7 linked regions of the Danio rerio genome follow. The main gene of each other region encodes a partner of the protein of the gene in region 2 in a complex. Links are inferred from orthologs where the notes say so. Each region holds a gene or a part of one and is shown on either strand. Other genes may lie near its edges. The genes, in order: tfdp1a, e2f4, rbl1, mybl2b, mybl1, lin52 and lin54.

Region 1 (3,500 bases), on a different chromosome or scaffold from region 2:
GTTATTGTTTAATTATTAATGACTTTTTCCAATTGATGATTTATGCATGAGCATGTTCATTAAAGAAAAAAAAAGGTTATGTTTAATTTTTCCAAACCTGACACAGATGAAATCTCAGATTTGAACCTATGAATTCAGACTTTGAAAACAGCTGGTTTAGGTTCCTCACTCCATTAGGATATTACAAATTGCTTTATGTGGATTAAAAAAAAACTATAAACCAAACATAACCATTCTTGAAAATCAGTCAGCCTAACCTGTCAAATCAGGAGATGGTGTGTGTTTAGCATAATGCAGAACACAAGCAGTGTCTAAGGGTTTTTCCCCCCTGCCTTTTACTATGACCAGGAATACAATCAGCCAGTGCAGTCCATAGTAAAAAGTGACATTTTTTGTCTGCCGGTTTGTTTACTTGAGGGAATTCCATTGACATTTTCCTGCACATTAATACGGACCAATCGAAAAGCAGTTTAGGAAATTTGTTCAATAATATCTGGCCAATGAGTGATGTGGATAGTCACATGACTGCATTTTAGTTCTTTTCAACTGGTTGAGACAAAAGCAATCAGTGTGGTGTGAAAAGGAATCAAAAACAGACAAAAAAAAAAAAAAAAGTTACAATGTGTCATTTGTTGCCCTTAATCTGGACCAAATGAACCAAACCACAGATGTGAAAGCACCCTAAAGGCTCCTATACACCGGGACGCTTTTCGTTTGCGTTTATCGTCAGCGTTTTAAGAGACGTTTTTCCGTATTCAAAGCCAAGCAATTTTTACTGGCGTCAAGCAGAAGAGTATGCAAAATCACCATATGCAAAAGAGCAAAAAGCAGCTAAACGTTCATATATAGCCTCTGGACATCTTCTTTAATGTGCGCTCGCATTGACAATTTTGCGCTTGAGAGCCTCCAAGTGCTGTTTACTGTAACTTCAGCAGCTCCGTGCACTTGAACAAAAGTGCTGATCTGATTGGTGGAGAAAGTTATTCAATCAAAGTTCTTTTGCAGTGTAAACATTCATGTGGTCAAATGGGTTTAACAAGACACAAAAGATCACCTGCTTTCAAACCATGTTATATACCTAAGATGCTTCCCAAATTGCATACTTATGCACTATTCTACGCTATTTTGTAGTATAAATAGTGCGTTCACACTGAAAACTCTAAAAATAATAAGTGCACTTTAATTACCCGGATGATGCACTCATTCAGCTGGTAAAATGAAGTGTTTAATGATGGACACTTCACGCACTCAACGACCGCAGGTTTGCTTATGTAGTAGAAGGGGCGGAGTTATCGGACGCACATGTTGGATAACTTTTTTTATTTTGGATGGTGAAAGCAAAATTCTCATACGAGATTGGTTATAGCGCCTCCCGATGGTGAATGCGGCAATACTCACGGCAGGTATTACTTGATAATTCGGCCGTTTATTTAACTTATTTAGCAACCGTCAAACGTCATTAGGGAAACGGTTTGAATTTCCGCTTAGTAAAAAAACATTAGTGTGCCATTTGGGACAACACTACATACATGTACTATCCTGTTGAGTGTGTAAGTTCATAAGTACATAGTGCATGAGTGCATAGTGTGCCATTTAGGACGAAGCTCTAGTCTCCAACCTTGTGATCTTTTTGAGGCATGTTGTGAAGAAATATCACCAAAACAAAGTATTCATATTTTGTTGCACCAAATCACAGATTACAATTGTAGTTTCCATCCATATTCTTTTCATTTGGCTTCTTTCCTGTTCTCTCCCTAAGTTACGAAACAAGGTTTTTTCAAGAGTATTAATGCAGCACACAGATCACTCCAGAGAAAATGATTCAGAACATAACAAAATGAAAAGGTCTTCAAGGAAATGGTAAGGCATCCCAGCTCTCTACAATGTCTATAGCAATTATGACAACCTGATTAAATCTGAAATACACACTTAATTCACAAATAGAACGATTAACACTAGTATGATTTATAGATGCAGTGTTTATGTGACCAAACTCACCATATGTGGTGCAATGTTCACGTTGGAAGGGCCCAGTGTTTTTGGCAACAGCTGTTTTCCAACAGTCAAAGCCTGTGGATGCACCGTTACTAAAGACAGCACACCTGCAGGGGTAGAAGAATACACAGAAGACTTCTAAACGTAGTGCTATGTAAGGTCAAGCAGGTGTCTGTGATTTTGCATAGCATTTTTGCAAGATCTTAAATATAATTCTTCAGAAAGCCTCTTCTTACCTTTGCCAGGGCTCAAGTTTTGATCAATGAAAACCTTCAACTCCCCATTGGCCTCAATCAGACCAGCCTGCGGAGAACGAGATAACCCTCAATGATCATTCTTAGTAGATGACATCTAATAGAGCAACAGAAAATACTCACATCTTTGGCCATGATCCCTGGGGCTGAGGAATTGATGCTTGGTCTAGCTTAAAAACCTGAGCCAAATTTCCACAACAAAACGTCACTGCAAAAAAAAAAAAACGAAAACTGGTTTGGCACAAGAACCGAGGACACTTGAAGACTGTAACCAAGGTTACTACACAAATCTTTGTGTCTCATAATGAAAGTGACTAATGAGGAATGTTTTCAATCGCCACAACAGCCAAAAGTTGCAGTGATCAATGGAATTCATTCTCTTAAAGATGGTTTGTCGATTATGAACAGAGGTTCAGACAGATATGGCAGATCTGTCTAAATTTTCTGTAAGCAAGACCAAAGCAGAAGACAGTACATCCCAAAAGCCATGTTCACAATAAATGGTACAAAATAATAGGGCTGGGCAATTTACCCTAAAATCAAAATCTCAATGAATTGAACATTAACTCGATTAAGATTAAGGAACGATTTTTTTTTTATTTTTTTTTTTGCCCTCATAGCTCAGACAAGTTTTGTACAACAAATGTTCACATATTACCAGTGAAAGATTTTTAAATAAAAGGGTGCATTATTCATTCATTCATTTATTTTCTTTTTGGCTTAGTCCCTTTATTAATCAGAAGTCGCCACAGCGGAATGAACCGCCAACTTATCCAGCATATGTTTTACGCAAGGAGGGGAAAAATTATTTATTGAACATTAATGTTAAACAACTGAGTGAAATCCCCACCACCTACGCTTGTCACTGCTTTCAAACTGACCAATCCCAAAGCCTGCGCTACATGTCGTCACAACATGTAGTTACATTTATTGAGAGGTGCGCTGGACCATACGTATAAGTATACATCAGCCTTAACAGAGCAGGGTCATGCGACTCCACATGCGTTAGGGAAAGTAATTGGGGAAAAAAACAGCCTGGAAAAATTAGAAACATTTATGTTTATGTTTATGAATGTAGATTTAGATTAATTTATAATTAATCACCCATCCCAACAGAATAATATGAATTGATTATGTTGACGCATCTAAATTTCATCACAGGGATATAACTAGGCATCAAAAGAGGGTTTTAATTTAAAAGGGTTAACATATTTAGGGTGTGTTCACATTTGTAGTTCAGATCTCTTGGTT
Region 2 (4,078 bases):
GTTTTGGTCGCCGAAAATTATCGGCTGGAAATAGGTCCTGCTGAGTCACCCAGTATTGTTTAGCACTCTCGTTTCACTTTCCCACCAGCAGTTCACTTTCCTGCCTGCAGTATCCGTCTTCAGTCATTTTTAGGATACTCTTTTTAAAAGTGGAAGCATTAACAACTTGTTTTAATATAGTTATCGTTTAATGTAGAATTTAAATATCGTGACAGCATTTTTGCCATATCATCCAGCTCTACTTTCTATTAAAACAACGTCACTTTTGTGAATTGAATGCGAAACCAAACAGCACATTTTTTAACAATGATAAAATCTCCGTAGCTATGCAATAATAAGCAGACATGTTTGAATAAAAACCACTGACCATATCAAAATAAATCTTAAAAAGCAGCATATTTTTGCATAATTAACATTAAAATTACACAACAGAAAAAAAAGACAGCTCAGGTTCTTTGAAATTGGAAGTAGGCCTGCACAATAAATCGTTTCAGCATCGATATAGCAATGTGTGTATCCACAATAATCATTATTTTGCTTACCACACTGGCAGATTAATTAGCTTGTTTAAAGGAAAATCTCACTTAATTTTGACTTATTATTTCTGAAAGTGAAAATAAATCTATGTTTTTAGATATGTGGACTAGAAACAAGGCAACCCCAAGTAATTTACATTGTGATTACCGAATTTCAGTACCTAAACACTTATTAGACTATAAAAAAGTCAAGTAGAGAATTCAAACCATCTGGTAAAACTGTATTTATATTGCAATATTTATCACAAAAATATATTTTCTAATATTTCAATACAATGTTATGGGGCCCCAACTTTTTTACCTTTGAGCACAAAATATTTTATTTTGAGAAAAATGTATAATATTTTCTAGCAGTAAACATGCCAGACTACATAATTAACCTAATTAACCACAGTTAACCTTAAAAACTTTTATTGTCTCATGTTTGTTAGGAGCCTACTAAAATATATAAATATATTGATGCAAAAAGCTAATAGAGGAGTGACCAACAAATATAGGAGTCAGTATATTGTCACCTTGGAATTATAAGGTTCTATCTACGCGTTTTTATTTTTATTAAAAGTATTAAAATGTAAACAACAACAAAAATATCCCATAATGTAAATAAGTTGTCATTTAATAAGAATATGTCAATAACTTAATTTTGACAAAAATGGCAGATAGAACCTTATAGTTCTAAGGTGACGATATGTCCACATGAAAGCTTCTGCATCTTACTTCCACTGGATGCTGTTTTTGGATTTCTTCTCGATGAGTCCAATCCCTTCCAAAACATTGGTGATGTCATAGATGCGCCGTTTCTGCCTTACAGCCAAAGTATCTGCAGCCTAAAACCACATCCAACAGAACAGATGATTAAATATAAAGTTTTTATTGCATATTGAAAATGTTTTATATACGCAATCCTAAACACAACAGTTGACTTAAAAACACTTGATCATTTACAAATGTTCATGCGACTTTTTAAATGTTAGTCATATTGTGAAAGACTTGTCTGGTCACCATTCACTAGAAGTGCATCTTAACTCAGTGTAAAGAAAGTGAATGGTGACCGAGGCTGTCATTCAGCCTAACATCTCTTTTAGTGGTCCCACTAAAAACTAATGTTCGGAACAAATATGAGAGTGAAAATATAGACAAAATGCTAATTTCTTTAAAATGTACCGTAACTAATCTAAGAGATAAAAAAATCAGATTTGACAAGCAACCGAACTAGATGCGGTCCACTTCGAGTAGCGCCTGCGCAAATCTAAACTCCAAACAACATAGGACATTTCAAAACAACATATTTGCATTATAATATATTTATACATACAAAAACCAGGTTTAAACTCTAAAGCATGCTTTGCAACTCCACCATTTGCATAGGCCTAAATTTCCCAAAACTCCAGAGCACGTGCTTGTTTTGAAGGCTTTTGTTTGAGTTTTCAGCCCGGATGGAAACTACTTTTCCACCGCAAATAAACTCCGGCGTACAACAACAAACACCGGAGCGGATTATAGAACTGCCGACTGCAGTGACATTACATTTGCAACTTGTTAGCTGACTAGTCTAATTTAGTAAATGAGCTAGTGTATTGTCGTGGGAGTTGAGTGAGGGGATGTGCGTGCACGCGACCCCCTCCTCCCTTAGCAAAGCAACTTTCAGGCAACTTTTACAAGATCTGCAGTTTATCTGTATTCATGCACATTTTAAAAGATAAACGCGGTGCATGCGCTGTGTGTCTCGCGAGCGCGTGTGTGATATTGTACAGATGTATAGGTGATGGTGATGGTGATGAGCTGATGTCGTGCTTACAGCTTTCAGATCCAGCACTCCGTCCTTCGCTTCCTGCAGTAGAGTCACAAATTTGGTGGTGAGCAGTCCGAGACTTTTCTCGTGGCGACTGGGGGTCTGCGGCTGCAGCGACTCTCCCATCGCTCCCAGGTCGTTTCTTCCGGTTTCTAAATCCATCAGGATGATGTTGAAGTATTAATAAATCCCCGCAGTTGTGTTTATGGTTGCATAAATAACGCTTTCTGCTTGCTATATCGCTGACAGCACCGCTCCTGCCGCGTAAACGCTCGCTTCCCGTCAACGACCGGCGATTTGCGAACCATGGACGGGAAAGTTGTCCACAAAATGACAGAGCTGCGACCGCTGTTCGGGGTCTGGTCCGGTTTGGGACACGGATCACCCCAACCCAGATGGCCTAACAGAACAGGAGGTCTTACGAGCACCAGCGCTGAGCTGCTTGAATGACTGAAGCCGTTGAAGGCGCAGTGCATCATGGGATGACCTGATAAAAAAATTGGAGGGTTCCTGCATTGCGTAAAGCGGCCTGAGGGGGGCGATAAAAGCGGCGTCGTTGAACTGAAACGACCATGTGGGGGCTACAGACACCGGTTTTTCTCTTTGTCGTGTGCTAAATTGAAAAATGCAAAGTTTTCTATTCACAGATGTTGTCGTATTTGAATAATTGACCCTTAATATAATTAAAACAATATATTTGCTGTTTTTTGTTGCATTTTACATCAATTTTTATTTTGCCTGATTGTTTTATCACTAAATGGACGGACGGACGGACAAACGGACGGACAGATAGATAGATAGATAGATAGATAGATAGATAGATAGATAGATAGATAGATAGATAGATAGATAGATAGATAGATAGATAGATAGATAGATAGATAGATAGATAGATAGATAGATAGATAGATAGACAGACAGTTAAATGCAAAGATGATAGATAGATAGATAGATAGATAGATAGATAGATAGATAGATAGATAGATAGATAGATAGATAGATAGATAGATAGATAGATAGATAGACAGATAGACAGACAGTTGAATGCAAAGACAGATAGATAGATAGATAGATAGATAGATAGATAGATAGATAGATAGATAGATAGATAGATAGATAGATAGATAGATAGATAGATAGATAGATAGACAGATAGACAGACAGACAGTTGAATGCAAAGACAGATAGATAGATAGATAGATAGATAGATAGATAGATAGATAGATAGATAGATAGATAGATAGATAGATAGATAGATAGATAGATAGATAGATAGACAGACAGTTGAATGCAAAGACAGATAGATAGATAGATAGATAGATAGATAGATAGATAGATAGATAGATAGATAGATAGATAGATAGATAGATAGATGATAGATAGATAGATAGATAGATAGATAGATAGATAGATAGATAGATAGATAGATAGATAGATAGATAGATAGATAGATAGATAAACTGATGGATGGACAAAGAGAGAGAGAAAGAGAAGCAATGAGACTGACAGATATAGATAGATAGACGGACAGATGAATGGATGGATCCACAGACAAGCAGATTTACTGAAAGAATGACTGACATAGATCAGAAATAGATGCACTGATGGATGGACAAAGAGAGAGAGAAAGAGAAACATTGAGACTGACAGATGGATAAACCGATAGATATTTAAACATCTAAAATAAGTATAGGCACATACACATTTGTACAAACCCTCATCTTGACCATGCAAATGACATAACTACACT
Region 3 (3,500 bases), on a different chromosome or scaffold from region 2:
GCAATGACTATAGATGTTGGTTGTACAATTATAGTCTGAGGAATAATCACGGGTATCACGATTAATATGCGTTCATTGATTTTAAAACTTTTTAGAAAAATCAAATTTGTGATTTGTGAAAAGTGTTATCTATTGCTGCTCAGTAACCAGAGTAATACAGCACATAATAATAATAATAATAATAATAATAATAATACAAAAACAAACAATAGTCCATTTCTCTTTGGACTTAAAAATAAGTGAAAAGTAATAATTTATAATGAAAATAATTGACAGAACAATGAATAAAAAAATTAAAATAAGAATAAATTAAAACACTTGTATTTGTCTAATATAATTCTAAGCAACATATTAGCCAAGTATTTCCCTTTTAAAGAGAACAAATATAGTCAAAAACTGAACTGACAAGAGTTTCAATTTACTATAATCTTCTATGTGAAGCTGCTTTGATACAATCTACATTGTAAAAGCACTAGAAAAATAAAGATGAATTGAATAGTTAAAACATTATTTATTCCTTTGATGCAAATTAAGCATTCAGCCCTCACATAATCTTTCAGAAATTATTGTAATATGCTGAGTTTGGTGCTCAAGAAACACTTCTTGTTATTGGTGAAATTCAAGACAGCTGCGCAACTAAAATATTTGCGTGGAAATCATGAAAGATTTTCCTCATGATTCTTTGATGGACAAATAGCAATTTATGCAAATAATCTTTTTCATCATTATTCCAAGGTGACAGGAAGGACACTTTTATTAAATTTAACATGTCCTTACAACTAAAAAACATACCATCTAACATCTAAAAAACCCCATCTAACTGGCTCCAAATATTTGAATGCTAATGCACTATACTGTGAACTATTTATTTATTTTTTAAAAGACAGATGCGTTTGTCTGTATCGTCCTTACACTGGTCTGCTGGAGGATCGACTTCCATGTTCTCGTCAGCCTGCTGCACTTTGGGACGCCTCTTTATTAAAACACTGCGGTACACCTACAAACACACAAAACATGGTTGATGTGGGTATATCAAAGACTGAGTTGTGCTTCCTTTCAGCTAAAATTACAAGATTTTCGACACTTGTGTGCATTAAAGCATTTCTATGCCATTTAGAAAGACTAAGAGTTGATACTCACATGACTGTTGGCCTGTGGTTGTGTTCGGTAGCATTTCATAATGTCCTGAAAAGTGTGCTCTTCTTTCGTGATCTGCAAAAAAATGTCACAATTTAAATGATTTTTAATGTAAAATTGTAATTTATATACATTTTATTCATAAATTTTTTCATTTATCAAAGTGATGAATGTTTTTAATTAGAAACAATGCATTAATAAAATGTGTTATATAAAATATTGGCATTTAAAAAACACAAGACCAAAATAATAGACAGCAACATGGTTTTTAAAATTAAACCAATAAAGGTTTTCTTGAGCAACAAATAAGCATATTAAAACTATTCCTGAACAATAACATGATGCTGTAATTATGCCAAAAATGCAGTATTTTGTTTATAAATATTCATAACATTCCTTTAGATTTTTACTAATACATCATATTATATCATGTCATGTCTAGGGTTGTAACAATATACCGGTATGACGGTTTACCACGATTTGAACGTGCACGATTATCATACCATGAACAATTGCATATCAACGGTTTTAACCCTTAAAGACCGAGACAGCCGCCCGCGGCTAAAAATAAGCATTGCTCTTAAATGTTTAATAACTTTTGATCCGCTGATAACATTCACGGACTTTCAGAGGCTCCGGAATCAGTGCGGTTACGTCATCAACATTTGACAACGCTGATTTGACAAAGAAACGCTCGTCACTGTGTCTCCGGACAAATCAGACATGATACATTGATGCATTGTCCCTCCTCCATGCCCAGATTGGTTCAAACTCGCTATATCACAACCAATAAGCATAGGTTTCGCTTTTGTTTGTGGACCAAGCTTTTTGAACAACACGGAATGAGAGAAAGGCATACATTTATGCGCGGCTAAATAAAACGCAAAAAAAAAAAGTTTTGCATGAAATAATTCTCATACTAAGTACTTTTGCATGCACAGCAGCACAGAAACATGACAAAACAGTGACACAGCAAAGACAAACTGTTGCTCTTGCTGTTTTCAAAAGACGCAAATGAAGATGCAGCTGTTTGTCTGCATTGCATACAACCACATCCATATCCACGCTGGCACATAAAACCTAAGGATGTTCCATATTGAATCTAGTTTCGTTATGTAACTATTTATAGTATAGTAAATATTTATATCTATTTTTTACTAAGGATTTGCACCATGTTTATTTGGACTTTATTTGGACTTTGACACATTATTTATTATTTTCTTATTTTTATTTGTTCATTGTAAGTGGTGTTGTTTATAGTAACTAAAAATATATTATTTGGAAAAAGTCAAATTTGCTTCACTGTTCTATTATTTTGTAACATTTGTAACATACCGTATACCGTATACCGTGAAACCGTCAAACCGTGGTATTGTTTTAGAAGATTATCATACCGTGAAAAATTCATACCGTTACAACCCTTATTATCATAGCAACAACAATGGTTATTTTCATAGCAAAACCATTGAATTAATAAATAAACAATTAAACAGCAAGACATTACAATAAAACTTTCGACCAATGTTTAAAAATATTAATGTTTTACTGCATTTAAAATCTGTACCCTTGATATGATGTAAACAGCACAAAGCAGCAGCTGGTCCAGGTGTCTGTCCTTCATCAGGTCAGTGCAGTGCAGGAGAGAGTGCTCAAAACACGTCCAGATCTTCCCTCTTAGCTCTGAGGAGATATCCAGCTTCAGACACAGGTCTCGCAGACGCACACTGGCTAAATGATACACCTGAAAGGAGTAGCAACAGAACATATGCACTTGAAATAAGACAATAAGACCCATATTTAAATTAAGGCTCTGCTGGGGAATAAGATTTTTTTTTTGAAAACTGTTTTTCTCTATACTTGCATGATTAAGAATTGCTAATATATTTCTGTATATCAAATATATATTTGTATATAGCAAAAAAAATTTTCCTAACAACATGCACAGATGAATTGTTCACCACAAAACTAGCAATGTGAGCTAACTAACTCAATATGGTTAGTTTTGATTTCATGTGTACTTAAAAAACAAAACAAAAAACATTAAGAATAACAAAAAAAAAAAAAATTAAATAAATAAAAATTAAAAATGTAACTAATAAATAGGGCAGTACTGACACTTTCCTTAAGACCACAATCCTATAAAATTCCTTCATACTGGGGAAAGTGGTCGAGAAGTAATGTTTTAATTTAATTGTGGTGCTTTTATTTATATGTATCCAGAATCCCCCCTCAAGAGATTTTCGATCGTTGATATGTTCCCCATAACAAATCTTTATATGGCAGGACCTGATCAAAAATATTAGCCGTGTATCCATAGTATCATCAGAAAACAAATTCACATTAAAACCACAAAAAAACACAAA
Region 4 (3,500 bases), on a different chromosome or scaffold from region 2:
TGTGCAATAAAAGCATGTAAAAAATAACTTGCCTGAAAGGTGTCTTTAAACTAAATATTGATAATTATTTGGTTTGCTCGTGTACTTGCTGAATTATTTCAAGGAATAAATTACAATGTTACAAGAGTATTTAATGGAATTAATTAAAACTTCATTATTTAATTTACCAGAAACAAAAATATAACATTACTCATTCACAGTACATACACAACTCATTATTTTTTTTTTTTGTGAGCCATCCCAAGATTTGGTGTGGTCTTACTTGGCCACCCCTAAGAAAAGTTTCTCAGGGGGCGCCACTGTGTGTCCATCCACCTATTTTTAATGCACTCTTTGGATTAATCGCAAAAAAAAAACTGAATGAAAAAGCCAAGATGTGCATACATTGCATAAAAAGATTCTGCACACAACCGAGAAGGATAAACTTTATCTGATATAAAAAAATCTGCATTAACTACAATGGAAACGAATAAATTCCAGCACACAAAAAAAATTCATGTGATTTTGTTTCAACAGATCATGTGATGATAAAAATGGCGGAAAGTGGCATGTATGTTTAGGTGGATGATGAGCTCTGAAAGGTTTTAAATGTTAAATACGAAAAAGCAGTGATGATAGAGATGATATCTGAAGATGATATCCTGCCTCCAAAAGCAAGATAACATTACTGCGCTCAGTGGGTTTCGTCTACGTGTTCTAAGACGGAAGTAAATTATTATATACAAAAACAGGGTTCTTGCACTATTTTAAAAGTACAATTTAATGCTTTTTAAGACATTTTTAAAGACCTCAACAAATATAATATAAGACCCAAAAATTGTATAATCTCTTTGGAATAAGCTACTCATTTTAATGTTCTCGTTAGATTTAAATAAATTGTGCCTCGTCACAGTATGGATAACCCGCAGTACCAGCCTTTTGGGTGTCTGGTGGTGAAATAAAACTGTTATAGCTGACTGTGAAGGGGCGTCTGAACTAGAGCTGTAATCATGATATAAAAGTTAGGCCCGATAGAGCCCGAACCCCACAGGTACATTTTGATTGACAGCTTTTAAAAGCCCAAACCTGTTTGGAGTCCGACATTATCCAAATGTGCACAGGCACACAGCTCTTTTGTCTTTTTTCATGAATGAGTCGTTTATATGGGTTAACATTACTTATTCATAACATTGGCTATAGGCCTAACATTAGTAACTAGTAACTTTGTTAGGTCGAGCTGCAAACAATGCAGGGATTAACCTGGACCTGCTATGACTAGCTGCTGCAACGTCCCGCTGCTGCTTTCCTCCTTTCATGTGCAACTCGACGACTTTGAGCCCCATGGTCCCTAACGAAAAAGTCTTTTTGCAGAATTTACACATTGCCTCTTTGCCACGTTGTTAAATGTACAATTTCCCATCTTTGCATTGACACATCAACAACTGCATAATAACAGCACGCAGGTGCAGACCAACGCAAGCGTCTATACTTTGTAGTTTTACAAGTGCTGAATTAATCAACTATTAGATGTTTTACCGTGGACCACTGTGCTTCCCTATTGTCATTAAGCACACCGGCTGAAAGTTTAATATCTACAGCCACTTTACGGTAAAATTTAAGACAATTTAAGACCTTAATTTCCCGGATTTTAATTTAAGACATTTTAAGACTTATTAAGGACCAGTGGGAACCCTGAAAAAAAAGCCCAACACTGTAACTTCTGTTTTTCTTTTGATATTTGGCGGCAGTTTATGAGGAAGTGATGATTTTGTTATCTTAGACTCGTTGGATGGAAACGCTGCTTTATTCTTAAATCTTTTATGCCATACTCCAGTTTTGCGCATACATTTAATTTGCATCTTTGGATGGAAACATGGCTAGTGTTGTGTTGCGTTTTCCCACCTGTGAGGGGGAAAAGGGCAGGATCTTGACCGGCGTGCTCTTTGGGGTCATAGAGTCATTGGGGTCTGGCGAGAGGGCGATGCGTCGACGGCTGCGGCGACTCAGGATGGATGGAGGAGTGGCTCCGCCGGGCGAGATGGGGATCAGCTCTCCTTTACTGCCCTTGCTGAGCTCCTGCAGTGCACTGCCCTCCAGACGAAACTGCAGCAGCTCCGAGCTCTGGCTCTCCTCCGGCAGGTCGAAGTCCGACATGGTACACCAGCCCTCCAGATCCTGCGCACACACACACTCTGATCAGTCCAACACACACTTAATAGTCCCATGAAGTAGGGCTGCACAATATATCATTTACGCATCGATTTTGCAGTGTGTGCACTTGCATTAGACCCTTTTCACAAGACGCTCATCGGCATCCTAAATCCTTGAAAGTTTTTACTTTTTTTTTTTTAAACGGGAACATTTATATGTATAGTATCATCTTTGTATTCAATTGCAAAAAACGAATTACAGCTCATTAAGGGTGTCACGATCCTCCAAATATTCGATTCGATTACATTTTCGATTCTAAAGTCACGATTCGATTCGATTTTCGATTATGAATAATTAATTAATGACCAATTAATTATTGGTAGCCTACCGTTTAAACTACCTGACCTGCATGGTCTTTGTTTTACCCATAAACAAATCATACAGTAAATGAATAAAGGCAAGATACACACATAATTACCACCTGTCAATCACTTTTTCTGCGGGACTCGTGAATAGGCAGTGATCTGTGTCGTTATAATGGCGTCGGTAAAAAAGACGCACAACCAACAGGAACCAGCCAACAGTATCTGAGGTGTTCGCTAAAATGACTGAGTACAAGTGAGTGAAAGATTGAAGCAGTCCTCTGACTGCCTGGACCTGCAGTCTCGAGCGCATGGCTGCGTGTGCGTCTGTGTGGTCACGTGATGTGCATTTTCAGAGGTAGAGAGGAAGGAGGGCTGCTCAGAAATGCTACACGCCACTGTGGATGTCAAATCGTTGTTGTTCTAAAATGCCATTTAAAAACAAAGCCAGTGTAAACAGGGCCTGAGTGTGAACTTTTCGCCAGCGGATTTGCAACGGGGGCGGGCGGAGGATCGCGATGCCGGTGTTGTCTATCGGACGAACCGTACGTAATACGTACATAGCAGAGCTTGCAAAACTGTGTTTTTTTTGTTGACAACACGAACGTTGTCAACATAACTCACTGGAAATCCAAAATGCTTAAACACCGGCGACTTCATTGAAAGAGGAGAGGGTTTAAGCTCTGTCGACGGGTCTCCTGTATCTGCAGTTCAACAAGCTCTTCAACAAGCCTGTTTTTTTCCCGCTTGGCAAGCCAATCTGATGTGACATGGGGGCGTGGCAGCATCGACGATTCTATTTTTTGATTCGATAATCGAAATTGAGCATAAATTTCAATTAAAAATCGAAATCGTGACACGCATCCCTCGCATGAGCAGTAGGGGTAATGCAGAATCTATAGCGGCAGGACAGTAACAACATTCAACATGATTCTCTCTTCTGGCTGCCGTTATCAGTCTCACACTATTGTTTTCCTCTTTCTGAACGTCTTGATAACACCATCGTGG
Region 5 (3,500 bases), on a different chromosome or scaffold from region 2:
ATTTCTTGATTCAGACCACGGTTATCTCAAATTTCTCAAACAGCAGCAGCAAAGCTGAAGAATGAGCCCTGACCCTGCATTCTCCTTCTGGTGTTTTGGTGTGGTCTCTTTCTGATGCGGTGTGTTGAGGAGGCATTTCTGTCCACACACTGGAGTTGACGTGAGAGCAGGATTGTCGAGGCTCAAGGGCTCGCCACCAGATACATTAAAAAACTGGAAAAAAAAAAAAAAAACATTGAATGAATCCACTAGGTCTGGGTATTGATTCAGTCCTTGATTGTGTCCTAATCAAGTCCTAATTTGATTCGATACAGATGTACAGGCTTACGATTCAATTTGATATAATAAACGAATATAACTAAAATAACTATAATAAAAAAATGATCAGTGAGTACTAAATTTTAGGTGCATGTGTAGAAATCACCTCTATAAATATCTCTTTACATATCTGAAAACACCTAATCACTGGAATACAGAATAAACGGTTTACTGCTTTTGAGAAATATCCAACTAACCGCTTAAAAAAATGGAAAAAAAAAACATTTTGGTTCTCTGTACTCTATAATAGGTGCTTTAGTTTATGATTTTGTTTTGTACCTGAGAAGGTGAAAACGGCAGGCCTTTAACAGGAGTGTGTTTTGGAGAGTTCCCACTGTTGTCAATATAAGAGCAGCTTCTTTCTTCAGCAGGAGACTGATCTCCTCCCTCTCTTCTCTTCTTTCTGCAGATGGAGGTTGGTGGAGAGCTGAATCTGTTCATGCAGGTGTTGGGAAGAGTCCCAGACTTGCCCTGGCTGACCGCAGCACATGGTCTGGTCATTGTCTGGACGGTAGGAGCATTTATTGGGAAGGCCAGGGTTTCTGTACAGACATCAGCGGGGTTTGTAGGCTTCGGAGAGGGGCCGCTCTCTGAGAGATCAAAACTAGTGACATCACTCCAGGCCAGAGGATCCTACAGCATCAAAAAACACATTTATATTGCCACAATTCAAAATCTGCATAGTTGATAAGATTTTTTTACACTCAAAGAATTAAGTTTGTTTCAAACTACTTATTTAAAATGAGCTGAAACAACGCAATTCCTGAGTTTCTTTGGGAGGAGAACTTGATTGTTTAATGTTCAAACAACTTAATTTGTAAAAACGTAAATGTTAACTTAATTCCTTCATGTTGTCCCAACTCAAATCGATAGTGTGGAACCCAGCATTTTTTACAGTGTAGTCTAAACACGTAGTCTTAGTCCTAGTCTTGTTAAACCCCATATTTAGTTTAAACACAGGTAAAAATAAGGCTGTCAATGATACATTTTCACAAATCATAACTTTCAAACTTGTTTTTTTTCAGAGGGATATTTCTTAATCTGATCAATCAGTTGAACACAATGGACTAATATTGCTCATAACCTAATTTCCTTCTTCCAAAATTTAAATATGGTGCTACCCTGGCTTAGATCTCTTAGTACAGTAATCAACTAGTACATAAAAAGTAAAATAAATTAATTAATTAAAAATAAGAATATATAATCAATAACATATCTAATTTTATACAGTTTTACATTCATTTAAGAGTGGAGAGTACACGACATCCAAAAACAAAGGCAGTTTCTAAAACAATTCATTTACATTCTGTACTTAATGGATTTCTTTACATTGCACACTTGATTATTGACCAGGGTTATTCTTGTCATCTTAAACTAAAACCATAAAACTGACTTGACAAATCTTGGTTAATTAAAAACTATTATTGACATAAAGCTAAATTGACATTTTATACAGATGATATTAAAATAAAAATATCTAAAACACAACCAAATTACTAATGACACTTAAATATCACTCTTATTATCAGAAAAGCAGAATAAACTAGTTAAAAACTAGTTAAAAACTACAAACTTCCTATAACCTGATCAGTTTATTTAGAACACAGAAAGTGTATCTTTACGTACTCTGCTTACCGAGTCAATGAGCTCCATGGTCTCTGCAAACTCAGGGATGGTCTCTAGTGTGGACAGAACAGCACTGGCTTCAGCAGCCAGAAACTTGCTCGGAGAGACAGGCAGAGGTATGGAGACGGAGCGGCCATCCTCTACACCTCTGTCCTCCACACTCTCCACACTGTCATCAGGCAGACTGTCTGACCAGCTCGAGTAGCTCTCTGGATTCTGCAGAGGAACAATCATCGACGTCAGTGAGGAAAAGAGTGAGATAAAACACATGAAATGACCAAAAGATGAAGTGGAAGGGAAAGTTCAACTGAATAAAACAATAAATAAAATCACAGAATCAATAAGTCTACATTAATTCAGTCATGATATCGATGCTGCATATTACTTTGAGATTATATGCTATAATGTTAAGATGTTTTTCGTTCATTCATTCATTTTCTTGTCGGCTTAGTCCCTTTATTAATCTGGGGTCGCCACAGCAGAATGAACCGCCAACTTATCTAGCAAGTTTTTACGCAGCGGATGCTCTTCCAGCAGCAACCCATCTCTGGGAAACATCCACACACACATTCACAAACACACTCATACACTGCGGACAATTTAGCCTACCCAATTCACCTGTACCGCATGTCTTTGGACTGTTGGGGAAACCGGAGCACCCAGAGGAAACCCACGCAAACACGGGGAGAACATGCAAACTTCACACAGAAATGCCCACTGACCCAGCCAGGCTCGAACCAGCGACCTTATTGCTGTGAAGCATTGTGCTACCCACTGTGCCACTGTGATGCCATAATAATAATATATATTAATTATATAATATTGGGGGTGGGAATCTCTGAGCACAATCCGATTCTGGAGGTCATGAGCCGATTCCTAAAAGATTCTTAACCAAACATTTTTTTATTTTTACAAATATTTGTAAAATTTTATGTCATTTTAACCAGAATTACAGTTTCCATGCTTTTGATTATTGATTGGAATCTCTGTGTGACAGTACATCAAGTCATCAAAATTGTTTTATTTTATTAAACATTTATTTCTTTTATTAAAGAATTATTCTTTATTAAAATTTCAAGATAAAAACACCAGATCACAAAGAGCAATTATAAAGAACAAAGAGTCCTCATTCCAAAAAAAATGCTTTTATTTGATTATAACGTTAAGTGAAATTATGGATAATAGGAGAAAAATTAAATGTACATTTATTATGTAATTAGCTCTCACAATTATTGGTTGATCAACGGATCAGAAGAGCTGCGTCTCGCCTGTAATTATCCATCAGTCCAAATCAAGTGAATTCAGTAGCATACGTATATGTGCTTGTCAACACTTCTGTTTAGAGCACATCCCTGCACCATCGCAATCTAATTTGAATACAGAATCGATTAGAAATTTTTGAGAATTAATTTAGAATTGTTAAAGTAAGAATTAAAATGCATTGTTTTTTTTCTTCCCCTCCCCTAATATATATATATATATATATATATATATATATATATATATATATATATATAGAGAGAGAGAGAGAGAGAGAGAGAGAGAGAGAGAGAGAG
Region 6 (4,029 bases), on a different chromosome or scaffold from region 2:
AATTTTAAATCAATATAAATGCATATCTTTGAATTATTTAAATTAACTGATGCTTTTTTTATCCTCTCTCTGTAACATTATGGAAATTATTCAAAATAGTAGAGTAAAAATCAAGTAGACAGAAAAGCATTTGACTGATTTTTCTCATTGAAGCATAGTTTGTTGAGGGCTTTCTGAGGGACATGCCACACAAAGGTCAAATCAGCAGAAGGAATGTAATACATCTGAAACGAGTGTTCACCAATGGTCTGCAGTACTCGCTTTCAAATTGTGCGATGTTTCGATGCCCATTTTCATCTAGAAAATAACTGAAACACTTATCTTTCCTGTAATCCTGCCTGCGTGGATTAATGCTACATCTAGCAATTCTGTGATATAATATTACAGAGACACTGGGCAACAAGCCAGTTCTGTTTAAATATAGAGTGGGAATTCATTTGAGACTTACAGACTGAAATAAACGAATAGAACATAACAAATAAGTGTTTTTTCCACACAAGGATTCAGATGGATTTAGGCTCCAGACTACATATAATGAATTATTTGTTGTATTGTCTTTTTAACTCTATCCTAAATATCACAGCGGCAAAAAACATGAAAAATGTCTTTATGTATTAAAAGCTGGGTTTGTGTTTGTCAGTAAGTTTTATTCTTTTTCTAATATCGCCATCTAGTGGATGACTTACAATATACCGTAACTAGATAAACAGTGTGAACTAATGCACTATTTCTGAGTTGAGTAAGACATTACTTACACTCCTCCAAGCCCAACTGGTAAGCCAGATTCTGCAGACCCTTCACCTTTTCCATCAAATTTGCTGTGGTCAAACTTCCTAATTCTAAAAAAAAAAAAGCCACAACAAACAAGTTACAAAAAATAAAATAAAAATGGACCAGAACCGAAACAAAATATTATACTGTAGCTTTTATAAATTCCAGGGTTTCTGCAGGTTTCACAAAGTTAAATTTAAGACTTCAAGACATTTTCAAGACCCTTATGAATGAAATTTTAGACTCATAAAGGACTAATCGCTAAGGAATTTTTCATATGGCCCAGATGGAAAAGATTTTTCATTTGCCCCATCAAAAAACGATTATATATTAATAATACAATTATAATTTAATAATAAAAAAATAAATATTTTAGATATTTTTTATAAAAATATTCAAATATTGTTTAAAAACAAACAAGCTCTACTTGTATACATACACTTTATTTTTCCAACATAAACTTTCTTTACAATAAAAAATGAATTAATGTTTTTAAAGTTTTAATATAACTAAATCTATGCAAAACAATCTGTCCAGGTCGGTGTCCTCAGCAGCAAATACATGGAACACTTTTTAACAAATATTATGTATTTTGAGGAAAATAATAAAACTGTTATGGTAAACAGAGTTAAAAATCACCTTTTTATATAAAAGGTTTTATTGAGATGAATTGTTGGTGATCGTATAGGACTAATGGCCAGACTGCGTAGCGATACATAAACAAAGGAAAATTAAGACCTAATTTAAAAAAAATTTAATTTAACATTTAGGAACTACAACACAATATTTCAGTAAATTTAAGACATAAAAATGTAATTTTGAGGTTTAAGACATTTTACGACTTTTTAAGACCGCGCGGACACCCTGGAATTCACCAAGCAACTCATCTAACTATTATTAACCTATTCTACTAAGCAATATATAGAAAGCATAGATAAAAGACTAAATGATACATTAAAAGACTTGATATGAATACTACTTTAAAAAAGGCAGACCTTTCAACATTTCAATATCCTCTGACTCCAGTTCAGCCATCCATTTGGGTGGAGAATTTGTAATAGGCTGAAATAACAAAAACCAAGCCTTAATTTCACATCAACTTTGAAAAGTATTCATTATCATTTGAATATTTACTCACATTTTTAAAGGATGCTGCAAATTCTGACACACCCGGCACTGTTAAAAACAAAGCGTTCAAAAATATGACAATGTGTAATAATCAAATGTAATTTCTATATTTCAATCAGTGCATTTTTTTTTACATATATTTGGAAAAATATGTTAATGTGTCATAAATATTAGTCCAACTGAATAAGATTAGAGAGTCAAACTTACACTGCTCTGGCCACAGGTCAGGTGAAGCCCGGTCAAGATTTTCTAAACTTATCAGAGAAGATTCAAAGTCCTCACCTACACATTAAAAAGATAAATGCTCTATGGTCAGAGAAAACTCATCAGCAACAGGATCAATAAACCTGAAGTACAATAAAAAATGTTAAATATACACAATTTCAATTTTAACATAACTCAGCTTAGATGACGTTACAAAAAAAAATCTTCTGTCACATATTATTCAAGGTGTAAAATTAAGCTGATGTTATGACAGAGATATTATGTTTACTCAGCTGCTAAGTTACTCAAAGCTGAGCTAGCTGCATTGAGTAATCTTGTCACAAAATAATGAGTTACATAACTAACGTTAAAGATAAAATCACGACACACCAAAAGTAATATGTCTTCGCGTATTTACTACACTATTACATTCGTATTAAATTATTACTACACAACTGATGTCGTCTGACACGTAGCTTTGCTAATGACTGGCTCCAAACAATTTTATGACGCTATTCCGACTGAAAAGCTTATTTTGATTCAGAATCCATCAGTTCTTTATAAAAAATATGCTAAACCGCATAATGATTTATATGACTTAATTAGTCCGTTGCACTATTGCGTTAACAACTAACGCTGCCAGGGAAAAGAGGAATTAAAATTTACCTCCATTCGGAGACGCCATCTTGACAACAACACACGTGATTCTAAGCAGCCAATCACTGGAGGTCTTGGATAAAATAGCCACACCCTCTTATGTTGTAAAATGATGTCGCAATAATTGACTGAAAAATATGAATATAAATATTATTGACAGCACAAACCTTTTTGTTGACCAAACTCTTCTCAGTTCTATGTCAAACAAAGTGATTCTCTTTATTGTTAACAGTTCTCTGATCTCTTTAATGGTCTTTAATGGCCTTTTCTTGATATTGATCTTGGATGGTATTCGGAAAAAATACATATTTTTATCTAATAAAGCTGTTGAAGTCTCAATCAGAATCATTCATAATTGCTACCCAATAAACAACAAACTAGGTAAATTTAATAACAATATTTCCTTCAAATGCTCATTTTGTACTCAATATGGTGAAACACTAAATCTTTTTGGCCTATTTTGGGAGTGCACTTATTGTAAAGTCATTTGGGTTGACTTTTCCAATTTCACAAAAATTGTATTATTTCCAAACTTTTGTATTTCCCACAAAAAATTATATTCTTTAGATACTTTCTGAATTCTTGTAAATTTGTAATTAATTGTTTCCCCCCCCCTAAAATTTACATCGATAAATGTAAATTTTCAAAGAAACACCCTACTTTTTTATTTTAAGAAATTACTTTATATGTGAACTCTTTAAAAGACCCTAACAGTTATATTGCATGTAAAACACTTTCTTGGTGTAAATCATTTAAACTTGTTTAATTTGCTGGAATTTTAATTATGAATTCATTTCTGTCTATTTGTTTAAACTGTGTCTTTGATAACGTTCTTTCTTGCAAAATAAGTAAAAATATATATGAATAATATGCGAACATTAATATGTTTAGCTTTCATACAGAGTACTTGAGTAGTATTATGATAGTGTTAATATAATATAAGACTCAAGACTCAGTCAGGCCAAAAAACACAGCAGAACAAACTTCTGTACAGCTACAAAAAAGGCAGTAATTATAAATAGACCAAAAATAAAAATTATTGGTAAACATAAACAAGTCTAGTTTCAGCACATTTTAACGTATCATATCAATATTTTTAACAGAGTGTTCATTTTATTTATTTTAAAACACTAAAGAAACATCATTCATTCACTGTAGCATTATTACTTTGATCAACCCATTTTCAAATGCTTTGTACATAGCATTATACGAAAAGGCCCATTTAAAAGACATTAAAAAAGGGATGGTATTGTAAAACTGGTTGAAGAA
Region 7 (4,014 bases), on a different chromosome or scaffold from region 2:
AACTTTCATTTTGGTTTAAAATACTGTAATGTAAATATACATTTAAAAAGACCTTTAGTTTACTTTTATTTTCTTCTTTCTGTCTTCACAGAAAAATGCATTTCCTTGTTCTGTGGCATTAACTGTGATTATAACAAAATAAATTAAGCATTTTCAACCATTGTGCATCTTAAATCATCAGTGGTGTTTATTTGTCTAACAAACACTGCTTGATTCCATTATTTACAATGTTACCTCAAATAACCACAATCTGAGAATGAATCAATAACATTTACACCCATAGCAACCTCAAAAAAAGTTCAGCACTACTGCAGTTTATGAGATGTAATATTAAACATCACCACTCTGTTTACTGTAAATGTACTACACTTAAAATAGATATTTTGTTAATATTACATATGGAGAATATAACAATAGTCATGCATTTAAACTACATAACTTCTTTTTTGCCCTCTGAATAACAGGTCTCATGATATAATTCACATCAGCATCAATATCACATAACACTAACGTTACTAGTTGGTTAACTAGTCAAGTAGACCACTCAAATTCCTAATATTTAGTAAACACTGCTCAACACGAGCGACGCGACAAGTTGTGTCGCGTCGCATCCAGAGCAGGCGATCTGTTTATGTTCGGCTGCTATGTGGCTAACTAGCACAGCGGCTAACCAGCAGTTAACACACAGTAATACATAAAACAGCCGCAACAACTAACATGAACTAGCCAGAGTTTGCTTCAGAAAACTATCAATCGGTAAACAATGACAGTGGCTGGAAAAAACGTTTCACAAAATAGTGGTTTAAAAACACAACTCAGAAATGCACTTCTATGTATGCGTTTAATCGCTAAACGTTTTACCAGTTTTACACGGGTTTTATACACAGTTAAACAACAATAAGCCTCTTTGTGCATGCCTGAGAATATAAATGTGTGTATAATTATTTACCTCAACAGTTAAAAACAAGCCTGTCAGTTTCACATCTGACGGAGTTTGTTGGTATTCGACGCGTCTGCTTTCCTGTCTATACTGATGCCATTAAAATATTCATGTGTACGCGTATATTCAAGAGTTTTTGCAGATAGGGATGTTTGTCTCCAGAACGGAGTCCTGTTAAAAGGAGTTAAGCGGGCTGCGTGTCTATTTCAGGCCGGGCTTGGATTTCGAAAGATCCGCCATTTTCATCTCGTCATCAGTTCAGACATAACAGAAACAGTCGCAGGACAAGAGGAAAAAACAACAGGATTTGTTGTTTTGTCAGAGTTTGAGCTTAAAGAATGAGTTAGAAGTACAAAGGACCGTCACTGTATTCGTTTTGAGACTTAGAAATATTAATTGTTAATTTTCGTTCAAAACCCTCATAGGTTTTTCTTCACTGGAACAACATAGCATGATGGTAATCTGAATGACATCCTTGCCATTCACTCTCAATGCATATTTTTCTATTCCGTGAAAAATGACGTCATTCTTTGTAGAAGAAGAAAAGTCAGTCATGCAGGTTTTGAACAAGGGTAAAACTCATTACAATGTTCTCTTTATCTTAACGCATGCTATTATTACACTTTATATATCCTAAAGTGTACAATTACATCTATGTACACTCAAACAATTTAGTGAGAGGTGTGGTCCACAAAAGTATTTTATTTGTTAATGCTAAAGAGCAATAACTTGCATTATTTAGCGTTTATTAGCCTTAGATAATAGTCGTTTGCTTATTTAATTAGTAATGATACAGTTGGACTGATGATTACTGATGATACTAGTTCAGTTCCATTAGATGACATTTGCATTAAGGTAAAGTTGGTTTTATATTCACACATTCAGACTTTCATAAAGTTATTTTCTGCAAATTCCAAATAGTTTAACCATATTAGCAGACGATGGCTATCAGAATACAACAATGTCCACAGTCAAATAAACTAATGCTAATGTTAACGTAGTCATATTTATACGTGTACGAATATAAAACCCAACTTAACCTTGATACTTACTAATACATGTTCAAATGCAAAAGTCGTATTTGTTGACGTTACGTTAACAAAGATAAAGAAATTGCTCAAAAATATTTTGTTATCTAATATTGACAAATAAAACATTTGGCAACCGTTAAGTGTTACCAAATACATCTTAATTCATACAAAACGTATGATCTGAACTATGTAATTCCTGATGTTTTAATTAATGATACAAATAGATGTACTATTACACGCATACAAGAAATGAAAACCTCTCTATATTTACAGACATTTAATAATTTTGCTAAGCAACAGCTCTCCGCAAGACTAAAATGACAGGCGCAGCTTGCTGTCATTCTCTGGCAGGTAAAGCCTAGGGTGCTAATCAGTTAGCCACTATTAACTCCTGCAACGCATCAGCCCTTTATAAAGCTTCATATGAGTTTTGTCTATGTTGCAGAAGATGAGCAATTATTAGCAGCGATTATTCGCGAGCGCAGCTGTGTGTGTGACGCGCGGTTGAGGCAGTTCGCGGACGGACATCAGCTGACGCGCACATACACACTCACACATATATATACATACAGTGTTAGCAGCTCTGCTAACTAGCGGAGATCATATTGCCCCTCGCTGAACACCCACCCGAGCCCAAAGCACTCCTACACGGGGTCGAGATGAGTGTCGAGACGCTCTTCTGAAATCCACAACGTTTTCTGCTCGATCACGACCTGCTCGGTCCAACTCGGGGCTGCATCCTGTCGATCATCCGCTCTCAGACGAAGACGATTGTTTAAAATACCGCGCCGAGCGCCATTTCACCTCTAACATCCCATAATCAAACCACGCCTTCGTAGGAAACAACACATGACGTCACAACACAACTTCCGCGCAGATTTTTTACTGTTGTATTCTTAATATTTCATATACACAAATGCAAATTTACAAACCAGAAACTCTTCTTTTATATTTTTCCTACTGAAATGCAACATTATTTTAAGACTAATTCTAATTCTGTGACAAAAATGACGTTAAAACAACTGAAGTTTTTAAATTGTTTATTATTATCCCAGTAGTGCTTTATGAATGTAGCTCCTTTGTATATTATTGTTTTGCTTCTAACTTTATTCTTTGTATGTACCATGACTGTAATTTTTGCATTGCGCATAATTAAAAATATATATTTTTACTGATGTTCATAATTGTTATTTTTCCTGTTTATCTAAATCGTTATCTGAATTGCACAATTTTCTTAGTTATTTAAATGAATTATTTGTACATTACAAAATGTTTACAACAACAAAAGTTTACAAATTTGGGAATTGTAAGAGAACACTCTTCAAGTGTCTTTAAAGTGTTTATATTAATAATTTTAATACATATTACAATTAATTAATTTTAGAATTTTGCGTCTAAAATTAGTTTTCTAATTAACTAATTCATTTGAATTTTCATTATTCAACTCTTCAATAAAAAAGCAAAAGAATGGATTTTTACTTGGAATATTATGATAATTATTTTAGAACTGACCCAGCCGAGGCTCAAACCAGCAACTTTCTTGCTGTAAGGCGATTTTGCTACCCACTGCGCCACATATCTATTTATATATTTTTATATATTATATTATATTATATTATATTATATTATATTATATTATATTATATTATATTATATTATATTATTGTAAATTTTCTATTACACTAAAACCTGAACCACACTGTTCCAGTTACTATGACCATTTATGTGAAGCTGCTTTGACACAATCTACATTGTAAAAGCGCTATACAAATAAAGCTGAATTGAATTGAATTGAATTCATTTATTTTTTATTATTCATTCACGTTTTATTAATCTAAGGTGGCCACAGCGGAATGAATCGCCAACTTATCCAGCATATGTTTTACGCAGCAGATGCTCTTTAGCCGCAACCCAACACTGGGAAACACCCACACACTCTTGCAGTCACACCCATACACCACGACCAATTCACCCACAGAACGTATTTGGACTGTGGGGGAAACTGGAGCACCCGAAAAAAAACCCACGCCAACACGGAGAGAA

Evidence for each region.
Region 1: e2f4 (region 2) and tfdp1a share a complex: the UniProt entries of both Homo sapiens proteins name them as parts of the DREAM complex. The link is inferred for Danio rerio from reciprocal best matches to the Homo sapiens genes E2F4 and TFDP1.
Region 3: e2f4 (region 2) and rbl1 share a complex: the UniProt entries of both Homo sapiens proteins name them as parts of the DREAM complex. The link is inferred for Danio rerio from reciprocal best matches to the Homo sapiens genes E2F4 and RBL1.
Region 4: e2f4 (region 2) and mybl2b share a complex: the UniProt entries of both Homo sapiens proteins name them as parts of the DREAM complex. The link is inferred for Danio rerio from reciprocal best matches to the Homo sapiens genes E2F4 and MYBL2.
Region 5: e2f4 (region 2) and mybl1 share a complex: the UniProt entries of both Homo sapiens proteins name them as parts of the DREAM complex. The link is inferred for Danio rerio from reciprocal best matches to the Homo sapiens genes E2F4 and MYBL1.
Region 6: e2f4 (region 2) and lin52 share a complex: the UniProt entries of both Homo sapiens proteins name them as parts of the DREAM complex. The link is inferred for Danio rerio from reciprocal best matches to the Homo sapiens genes E2F4 and LIN52.
Region 7: e2f4 (region 2) and lin54 share a complex: the UniProt entries of both Homo sapiens proteins name them as parts of the DREAM complex. The link is inferred for Danio rerio from reciprocal best matches to the Homo sapiens genes E2F4 and LIN54.

The regions. Positions count from the first base shown.
Region 1 is NC_133184.1:36,646,188-36,649,687, reverse strand, and holds part of tfdp1a (transcription factor Dp-1a), read right to left. Parts: intron 2,458-3,500; 5' UTR 2,385-2,457; coding exon 2,373-2,384; intron 2,299-2,372; coding exon 2,232-2,298; intron 2,103-2,231; coding exon 1,999-2,102; intron 1-1,998. UniProt on the Homo sapiens protein: Can stimulate E2F-dependent transcription.
Region 2 is NC_133200.1:18,358,789-18,362,866, reverse strand, and holds the start of e2f4 (transcription factor E2F4), read right to left. Parts: upstream 2,801-4,078; 5' UTR 2,491-2,800; coding exon 2,335-2,490; intron 1,364-2,334; coding exon 1,254-1,363; intron 1-1,253. UniProt on the Homo sapiens protein: Transcription activator that binds DNA cooperatively with DP proteins through the E2 recognition site, 5'-TTTC[CG]CGC-3' found in the promoter region of a number of genes whose products are involved in cell cycle regulation or in DNA replication.
Region 3 is NC_133181.1:54,202,606-54,206,105, forward strand, and holds part of rbl1 (retinoblastoma-like protein 1), read right to left. Parts: intron 2,879-3,500; coding exon 2,702-2,878; exon of another isoform or gene 2,548-2,701; intron 1,576-2,547; exon of another isoform or gene 1,213-1,575; coding exon 1,141-1,212; intron 998-1,140; coding exon 913-997; intron 1-912. UniProt on the Homo sapiens protein: Key regulator of entry into cell division. Directly involved in heterochromatin formation by maintaining overall chromatin structure and, in particular, that of constitutive heterochromatin by stabilizing histone methylation.
Region 4 is NC_133186.1:1,640,500-1,643,999, reverse strand, and holds part of mybl2b (v-myb avian myeloblastosis viral oncogene homolog-like 2b), read right to left. Parts: intron 2,155-3,500; coding exon 1,882-2,154; exon of another isoform or gene 1,461-1,881; intron 1,400-1,460; exon of another isoform or gene 114-1,399; intron 1-113. UniProt on the Homo sapiens protein: Transcription factor involved in the regulation of cell survival, proliferation, and differentiation. Transactivates the expression of the CLU gene.
Region 5 is NC_133199.1:27,725,927-27,729,426, reverse strand, and holds part of mybl1 (myb-related protein A), read right to left. Parts: intron 2,161-3,500; coding exon 1,945-2,160; intron 952-1,944; coding exon 598-951; intron 214-597; coding exon 74-213; intron 1-73. UniProt on the Homo sapiens protein: Transcription factor that specifically recognizes the sequence 5'-YAAC[GT]G-3'.
Region 6 is NC_133192.1:33,276,441-33,280,469, forward strand, and holds the start of lin52 (protein lin-52 homolog), read right to left. Parts: upstream 2,801-4,029; 5' UTR 2,789-2,800; coding exon 2,770-2,788; intron 2,182-2,769; coding exon 2,107-2,181; intron 1,948-2,106; coding exon 1,910-1,947; intron 1,834-1,909; coding exon 1,767-1,833; intron 840-1,766; coding exon 756-839; intron 1-755.
Region 7 is NC_133185.1:12,008,842-12,012,855, forward strand, and holds the start of lin54 (protein lin-54 homolog), read right to left. Parts: upstream 2,801-4,014; 5' UTR 2,542-2,800; exon of another isoform or gene 950-2,541; intron 1-949. UniProt on the Homo sapiens protein: Component of the DREAM complex, a multiprotein complex that can both act as a transcription activator or repressor depending on the context. In G0 phase, the complex binds to more than 800 promoters and is required for repression of E2F target genes.